2 linked regions of the Schizosaccharomyces pombe genome follow. The gene in region 2 interacts genetically with the main gene of each other region. Each region holds a gene or a part of one and is shown on either strand. Other genes may lie near its edges.

Region 1 (5,370 bases), 2.9 Mb from region 2:
CAAACCGCATGACCGGCAACAATAATCAAGTGTGTGAGGTTTTTCAAAGGTTGTGCTCCTACCAAGGAAGTAGGACTAAAGCATTGAAGACTGGGATGGCTCATAGTAGAAAATATAGTAAAAAATATGCAAAGCAATATTAGAGAAGCATAAAGTGCTATTCCAGTTCGAGACTTTGGGGAAAGAACTCGCCAAAATCTAGACGATGAGGCGGTTTGGGTAGCATAAAAAGGCAATTGAATAGTTAAGCGTTTATTTAACATTTAAAGACCCAGTAGAATCCCAACCTGGGTGAAGGTCTTTGGCAAGACAAATATGAAAATAAAAAGTTGCTGTAGCGCGGTAGCGTATTATCAGTGATACCCAGGATACCCAAACAAAGCACGCGAAGCTTCTCATTGCTTAAACGAGCTAAAACTTTTATAAAAATTAATTTACCATAGATTCAAACATTAATAAAATTAATTTTATTGATAAGAACGGCAAAAAAAAGTTTTATGTTTCATCCTTTGTAATTGCAACAACGAACAAAGAATCTAAATTTTCTAGTTAATTTATTGCTTTATTTACGCTTTTTATTTAAAAAATAAGATAAAATAAAATTCGGGCGTTTAGCATACCATACATAATCACCAGTTGGCAAGAATCGAAAGTCAATCGTAACAACCTTGCTGAGCCTAAATCGGTGAACTCGTTGCAGGATTCCAAAATGTTGCATACGAAAATCACCAATCTCTTCAATTCCGCTGGCACATCAAGATCAGTTCCACCGCAACCTTGAAGTAAATTTTTAGTGAAAACGGTAGGAGACTTGTTTAATTCATCCAAGCTAATTGTGGTTAACGCGTCTAACTCTGGTATCATAGTACTCTTCAAAATGCCTGCATCTCTTATTCGAAATAAATGGACACCAGTCACTCCTTCTATTGAGCGTACAGATTCATACAAGTCATTGGCACTTTTCAAATCACCAACGTTCATATTTATTTAGTTGTGTAAAAAATATTTGGTTAATATATGTCCATCACTTGTAATCAGTCAACATTAAGGGCAAATCATAGGTCAACAGTCGTTTTGATGAATTAATTATGCATAGAATATTATATTGAATTTGTGACAAAAACAATTTAAATTAATATATGTTCTCAAAATAATGTATATGCAGACTATATGCATATTCCTCGGCGACTTTATATATTTCACGCGTACGTGACATTAACAATATTCAATCAAAGATGAACAATGAAACCGCTAGTCATTATCCTTTTATTTATACTTAAAAATCTATGTTAACCGGTATTCATGAAAAAAACAGCGGCTCAATAAATCGCTATTTCCTTCTTCAATATTGTTCATGTTATGTGATTAACCGAAAATCATGTATTCTTTCTTCTTGTAATAAATCATCGATTTAGCTTTGTTTACGACAACTATATATAGGTGAACAAGTTGAGCAGTGTTTTAATCATTTTCTGAGCGAATAATCATCCCTATAAACGCACCTAGCTCAATTACTTAGAAGTTTTTATGAATATATAAGCGGTTACTTAATTCATTCGAGTTTAAACTGATGCTAGCTATTACAAACTCAATTACGATTTGCTTAGCATTACGGCTCCATTGCCGCCATACAAAGTGAAGAAATATGGAGGAAATTCACCAAAATTAAGAAATATACAAACTTTGAAGCGACTGATTAAACTGTTGACATCCGAGAAAATTTGCATTTTCACACCTTCAGCGACATTTCCCCCGATCCCCGAAAAAGGTGCGACTTGTGAGGATTGGCTATTTTTTATTAATCTAGTGGAAAATAGCTGTTAAACGTTTGCAGATCAGTAAAAATTTTCAATATGAGTGGCAGATTGCGCAATAGTTGGTTAATCGAAATCAATTGCATTAACTGAGAAGTGGACAGATTTTTAATGATCTACGCACATATATATACTGAGACGAATAGAACGACATCTTTGCAATTTGTTTTATCCACATTATCTTCGGATTCGTAATTTTGAGATTCGCTTAACATCTCGCAATTCTACTCAAAATCTCAAATTCATTAGGTGATTATTAGTCTTTAGGCCTCACAATCCTCTCTATATTATATCCTCTCCTCCTTAACCTCATCGAAAGCCACCTCAAGAAAATACACATATTTGGAATAATCAAGTGGTTGGATAAAGAGTATTATTGGAGTTTTTTGAATCATTAAAATCTTGGTTCTACCTCAACTCTTCATCTTTTTACTGAAGGTTGCCAAAGCAACGAGTTTGTGTGTATTTTATATTTGATCTTCTAGTTTCTTTTTCGTTTATCTTTTACATAGTTTGTGTCTCTTTTTAAATTTTTTTTCTTGTTTCCATATATTTCTATCAGCTAGCACTTTAAATTTTCGATTTACTTACAAATTACTTTGTAAGGTTCGATAGTTGACTTTCCCCGCTTATCATAATTATTACAATCTTCATATAGTTTTCTCCTTTTTTTTTGTATTACTATAGTCTTTTATACTACTATCATCTTATCCAAATCATTTCTGGTTTCATTCTGTTAACATCTACCCGCATCATCCGTGATAACATTTTTTTGTGCTATTATCCACTCTATTTTTTTTTACCCTAAAATCAACCTTTGCATTGTCCCTTCTTTCTTTTCATACTTAATATTTAACCTTTATAAAAAAAATGACTACAGGTTATGAATCTGTTCCCACTTCCGAACCCTCTGATAATCTTGCACCACGAGCAGAGCTATGGCAACGCCATTTACTGGAAAAAAAAGAAGGTGATCAATCCATCTCCGTTTCGGCTTTTAATATTTCTTCAATGCATAATGAATTGTCTGGTTTAAGCGAAAAAAGTCGTCAACGTGTCGAAGCTGTATGGGCTGCTTTTTCAGAGGCTTCTTGCAGCGAACGTAAACTCGCTTTGCAAGGCATTTTAAACAACTGTTCGTCCTCTCTTCTCTCTTTTGCCTCCAGCACATTAGATTCTCTAGTACGCTTAGATTTTCTCTCTTTGCTCCCTGTTGAAATTTCGTTTCGCATTTTATCTTTTTTGGATGCTAGAAGCCTTTGCCAAGCTGCACAAGTCAGTAAACATTGGAAAGAACTTGCTGATGATGATGTTATATGGCATCGGATGTGTGAACAACATATTAATCGAAAATGTGAAAAATGCGGCTGGGGACTTCCGTTACTCGAAAGAAATACCTTATACGCAGCAAAGGCTTCCATACAAAAACGTTATGAACGACTTACAAAAAGAGGCGTCGATCAGGCTCATGAATCTTCACCCGTCAAAAAAGCAAAGCTGGACGATTATCCGACGTCGAGTAATGAAGAGACTATTTCTTCTGTCAAACCACCTTCTCCGAACTCCGATTCCAAATTCTTTCTTCCCTTTAAAACCAGACCATGGAAAGAAGTATATGCTGAACGTTGTAGAGTTGAATGCAACTGGCGGCATGGTCGTTGTCGCCAGGTTGTTCTCAGTGGCCACTCTGACGGTGTTATGTGTCTACAACTTGTAAGGAACATTCTTGCTAGCGGCAGTTATGATGCCACTATACGATTATGGAATCTTGCTACCTTTCAACAAGTTGCTCTATTAGAAGGTCATAGCAGTGGTGTTACGTGCCTTCAATTCGATCAGTGTAAACTTATCAGCGGTTCAATGGACAAAACTATTCGTATATGGAACTACAGAACCTCTGAATGCATTTCTATTTTACATGGTCATACGGATAGTGTTTTATGCTTAACGTTTGACTCTACGCTACTTGTTTCTGGAAGCGCAGATTGTACAGTTAAGCTGTGGCACTTTTCTGGCGGTAAGCGTATCACTTTACGCGGTCACACAGGACCTGTCAATTCTGTCCGCATAATTAGAGATCGTGGACTTGTTCTTTCCGGTTCCGACGATTCCACCATCAAGATTTGGTCTTTGGAAACAAACACGTGTCTTCATACTTTCAGTGCTCATATTGGCCCTGTCCAGAGTTTAGCTCTTGCTGATTCGCGATTGTTTTCTTGCTCATTGGACGGCACAATAAAGCAATGGGACATCGAGAAGAAAAAATGTGTTCATACATTGTTTGGACACATTGAAGGTGTATGGGAAATTGCGGCAGATCACCTTCGTTTAATCTCGGGAGCTCATGATGGTGTTGTTAAAGTTTGGGAGGCTTGTGAATGTGTTCACACGTTGAAGAATCACTCGGAGCCTGTAACCTCGGTTGCTCTTGGAGACTGTGAGGTAGTCAGTGGGTCTGAAGATGGGAAAATATATTTGTGGCTTTTCAATAATGCTCCAAATGAATCTCCAGTATCTACACAATCTGTTCCGATATCTTCCCTTAATGGTCAAAGGTCAAATTCAAGTGTGCAACGAGCTCTTTCTTCAGTACCCAACTACTCATCCTCGTTATCCAATATCTCAACCAGAAATTTAAATATCCCACCCTCTAATGCCAATAATGACGATGTGTCGATTCAATCGTAGTTACCCCAACATCGCATCGCCTTTTTGTTTGTGTCTATTTCTTTTTTTCTTCGGCATTTCGCTTGTATATCCTTCATTTTTCATCATTCGAAGCTATGTCTTTATTTATTGCTCGGGTTGCCAAAATGCCATATCTAAATTTGGCTCTTTTTTGGTAACAAACACTTTGTCTATAATCAAAAACTACTTCTAATATCCTTGCCTGTATTGTATTATTTAAATCATTTGAGATTGATGGCATCCCGGCATACAGTTTAGCCTTTTGCTTAATTTACTAGCGAATTATTTTATGACTTTTAACATTTTATGTATTTAATGAATACAATTTATCCTTAGTCGAGCTGAAGAATGTATGATTTGATGAATTGTAAAAGGGAGAAACTTAGGTACTATGTTGTAGGCGTTGTTTTTTCCAATTGCGCAAGTGGATTACTGATATTTTATTTCATGAGCGTGTGTATTTTGCATTGCTCTTGGAGTCAGAGAAGTATGAAATTAGCAAATTATATCAACACTCACTATTAGCAAATAAAGTCAGCTCCTACGCAAGCTAAAGATGTAACACCAAGTATTTGAGCCTAATAATTTTTATAATAAAGACATCAATTTGAAGCACTTCCGTTCTGTAAATCTCAATTTCCCATACGGATCAGTTGCATCTTTTTCCTCATTGTTTGAAATTTTGGAATCACCGGCTTTGTAACAATACTAACTTGCTTGGAATACTCAACTTTTGATTCCCAAAGAATGGTTTAAAGATGCAGCCTGCTTCTCTTGCCGGTATTGTAAGTACCTGATTTCTCTATGTGTAATTGTTTTTCCTTTCAAAATTAAACTTCCTCGCCAAAAAAAGATTTGCTTGTTTATG
Region 2 (3,892 bases):
AATAGTCGTCAAATTGATCTCTCTACCTTTGTTAAACAAGCAAATACTCCAAATATTACCAGTCTACTAGATGGTACCTGCTCAAGCCCGCCTAATAATGAATGTTTTAATGACAAGGAGCCAGACTCAAGTAGCAGTACGCTGATATCAGATCGCCAGGAACTTGAGTACAGGAATCCCAATGCGGAAACTGTCAAGCTCGAGGAAATACCCTACAACAAATTTTTTAAGACAGTTGAGAAGAACGAAGCATACAATCCATCTAGCAAATCTGCTACTATTGATGGTTTACAACGTTATACTTCTATGATAGGAAATCAAATATACGAGGGCATTTTACAGAACGAGAAGGAATTGAGGTCAAAGCTTGAGGCTTACCACATAAATTGTAACAAAGTGATTAAGGAATTTTCGAAAAGACAAACTGCTAGATATAAGATCATCGAAAAGGAATTGGCGCAAATTGAAGTTAATCTGGTCAGCCAAATTGACAGTTTGATGTTTAAGTAGCTTGAACCTATAGTATCAAATTTATTGATATTGGCTTATATTGACATATTACTTTAAAACAATTCACATTGGAAGCGTTATATTTTATTTACGTAAAGCAAGAAACACGAGAAAAATAGGTATATTATCAAATTCATTACCTAGTAAACGTAAAACTGATGAACTTGAACGTAGCAGTTGGATGCATACGCAGAAAAAAAGAAAATTAAAAGATTTGCTCCAAAAGAAAACATAAGTTTACCTGTAAAGAAAACCTTTATATGTTAAATAAATGATTATCGAAGAAATAAACATATCAATGCAGAAGACAGGGGTATAAAATAACAGGGAAAGAAAACCACTTTTAAAAGTTAGAAGTAGGACGTATAAGTCCCTTCAACCAGTTATTCTCCATCTCCAGTTCACGAACACGAGTTTCTAAAATGGCGACTTTCTCAGTCAACTCTTTAGCAGTGCGTTCCAACTGTTGTTCTTTAAGCTTCTTCTTGATGCGAAAACGAGCGCTAGCAGCGGTATTTCGACGACGTTTATCTTCCTCAGCAGCAGTACGGATGGCAGAAGTAGCTTTGGTGCGTTTACTGTTAGCATTGGGAGACTGAGCACCCTTATAAGAAGAAAGACTAGGGGAAGATACAGATGCTAAATCAGGACTGGCAAAAGTGGAAAGGGGATTGGTAAATGCGTTTTGATCAGCAAATGAAGAAACGGGAGCTTGTAAAGGGGTATTGTTAATAGAGCTGCTAGCTTCAGAAGTCGGGATAGCAGTCTGTCCAACCAAAACTTGATGTTGTCTTGCAGATTGATCAGGTAGTAACTTGGAGGAAGCTGAACCTTGGAGAATTGAGGAAGAAGAAACATTATCCTTGGAGGCTGAAGCAACAGAAGACTTTTGCTCAAAGAGCTCTCGTTGAGACGAAGTTTTTTCTTGAGTTTCCTTTGAATGATCAGGTAGGGTTAGGAGTTTCTGCAAGTCGAGATAAGCAAGATCAATTGAAGCAGGATTAGCAGAAGAAAAATTTCCAGTTGCATTCAAAGGGGCAGAAAAGGTATTGCTAACTTCTTCCTCTTTAACTTGCTGCAAAGTCGAAATTTTTTCGGGATTCTGTTGCTGCACGTTCTTTTCCTGCTTATTGGAATTGGAAGAACCTGAAGGTTGAGAAACAAATCCATAATAGCCTTCTGAAAGCATACTAGAAGGCTCTAAATCTAAAAAGTATGGATTTGTGAATACATTTAATTGCTCTGCGAGATCATCCTTTGAAAAATCGTCAGAGACAGGAACATCATCGAACTTAAGATTCAAGTGATTGATAGCGCTATTAGGAGTAAAATCCATTTGTCAAAAGCTTTATCTTGAGACTCTTGGTCTCTTAAAATTAACTGAAAATCAATTGTTAGCATGGAATTTCGCTAAAAAACTGAACTCTCCAACAATAAGCTTACCTAAGACTTAACGGCAAAATTATCGTTACTAATCAAATTATATCTCACAAAGGTAAAAAAAACACACTCAACCGTTCGCAATAAACGAGCTAAACCACCAAATTTAGTGACTCGATGAATGGCGACGCTACGTTGGTAATCGTAGAAAATTTGATGACTGAGCCAGCACGTCTGCGATCGGGATCATGCAGCGTTGAGATAATAATGAGATTACAATCTCCGCGTTAAAAATCTGATGTAGTGTAGCTGTACGTAGATCCTCATAAAACTATCCTATATTAAGATAGTGCACCGTTAATTATTATAGAAGTTGTTACCGTAGTAGTTTAAACCTGCTAGAAAAACGTTATTATATAAGTCACTAACAAATTGCTATTTAGGAAAAAAATCCTAAAGAAATCAGTCGTATGCTATTAATGAGAGTTAAAAAGCAGTCTTAAGTTCTTGCTTTTTGTGTAAATGATCGGAAGTTTTATCTTATATTGAAAATTCTAAAGCCATTAGAATATTCGCTCATTTTATATATCAATGGCCCAGTTGTAATAGTCAGTCGAATAGTTAATTGAATAAACTACTTTAGATCTACATGCGCAATAAGTTTTAAGTTTGGGGTTTTTACTGAACATTTTTCATCCCCAACAACGGTTCATATATTGAAACAATAGTGCGTCAGACAATTCGCAATTTTTTTTTTCTAAAAACAGTATATTCTCTACTTTTCAGTCAGTTAATATATTCCGGAACAAAGTCATATTCTTCTTAAAACTTATTCATACTAGTGCTGCTTGTGTAAAAAAAGAATCAAATACAAAACATGTTACTTGACAGATCCTCTATAATAGAATATGGAAACGAAATAGAAATGAGAATGATTGAAGTTCAAGCTTAAAGTCAGTAATAGATTTGCTTTTTGCATAAGAAAAAAATCAGTGGAAAACGCTTTGAAATCCTTAAAGCATTTTTTGTATTTGCGTAAGACATTGTCTGCTATATGCTTTCAGAGGAGTTTTAGAAATCCAATAGCAGAAATTCATCATTAATGTTAAAGGTAGCTGAATACAAATTAAACAGCGTTAAAATCAAAATCCGATAAACCTTCACGTTCATTCCGTGGTTACATTTGTAGTTCATTTTTGTCAACCATCGCCGTTCTATATACTTGCTAACTATAGTACAATGTGTGCCATCAAAACTTTGAAAATTTAATCCTAATAGTTTAAAACAAATGTTACAGTTTAAGTATTTCAATGTCCAAGACTTCAAATATGGAGTTTTACCTAACTTGCATAGAAACTCGGTATTATAATAAAAGACAATGACGGATTCGGGGTATTAAATGAAGACTTCAGCTGTATAAAAGCTTTTCTGTTATATATCTTAAATTTTGTGGATTCCAAATTAGCTTTCAAATACAAACTGTGCCATTTTACACAACCTCGATCATTCATAAAACAATAATAAACTTGCTCACTTACAAACAAGTCTTAAGAATTGATTTAAGTCAATGTCTGATTGCAAACATATTAACAATCTGTGATAAATTTCTTTTGCCATGTATTTCTAACTTTAGGTTGATGAGTTCAAACCTCCTATGAATCGACGTATATCGTTGTTGATATTTCACATAAACTTGGACTCGCCAATCTTTGTTCATATTTTAATGCTTATTTATTCAGATAATTCCCAGGTGACTAGCAGTTTGAACTAAGCAAGACGTTGTCAACGACTTCAAACATCGCAAGCTTATGGAATAAAAGAAAAAAAATTACATGTTTCTACTCGTAAGTGAAATAAAAATTCCCGGACTCCCATTTACCAATCCTTCGTTTTTTGTATTACCATATACTATCTTTCACGTTTGCATCTAGCATCTAAAACTGTTCACTTCTAAAAACAATTCATTTTAAGAGAAATAATCATTTTTTCTTATTTGAATAAA

The links. Genes that interact genetically often act in the same process or in processes that back each other up.
Region 1: of zip1 (region 2) and pof1, a mutation in one rescues a mutant of the other (synthetic rescue), as found in Schizosaccharomyces pombe (one study listed by BioGRID).

The regions. Positions count from the first base shown.
Region 1 is NC_003424.3:1,372,198-1,377,567, reverse strand, and holds pof1 (F-box/WD repeat-containing protein Pof1), read left to right. Parts: upstream 1-1,972; 5' UTR 1,973-2,684; coding exon 2,685-4,502; 3' UTR 4,503-4,846; downstream 4,847-5,370. Other genes in the region: SPOM_SPAC57A10.07 (uncharacterized protein), read right to left, coding at 1-263; protein mug15, read right to left, coding at 496-536, 621-981; SAGA complex deubiquitinating submodule subunit Sgf11, read left to right, coding at 5,261-5,287. UniProt on the Schizosaccharomyces pombe protein: Probably recognizes and binds to some phosphorylated proteins and promotes their ubiquitination and degradation. Required for the inactivation of zip1 via ubiquitination.
Region 2 is NC_003424.3:4,298,020-4,301,911, reverse strand, and holds zip1 (DNA-binding transcription factor Zip1), read right to left. Parts: upstream 2,098-3,892; 5' UTR 1,954-2,097; exon of another isoform or gene 1,891-1,953; 5' UTR 1,847-1,890; coding exon 854-1,846; 3' UTR 511-853; downstream 1-510. Other genes in the region: meiotic recombination protein Rec10, read left to right, coding at 1-510.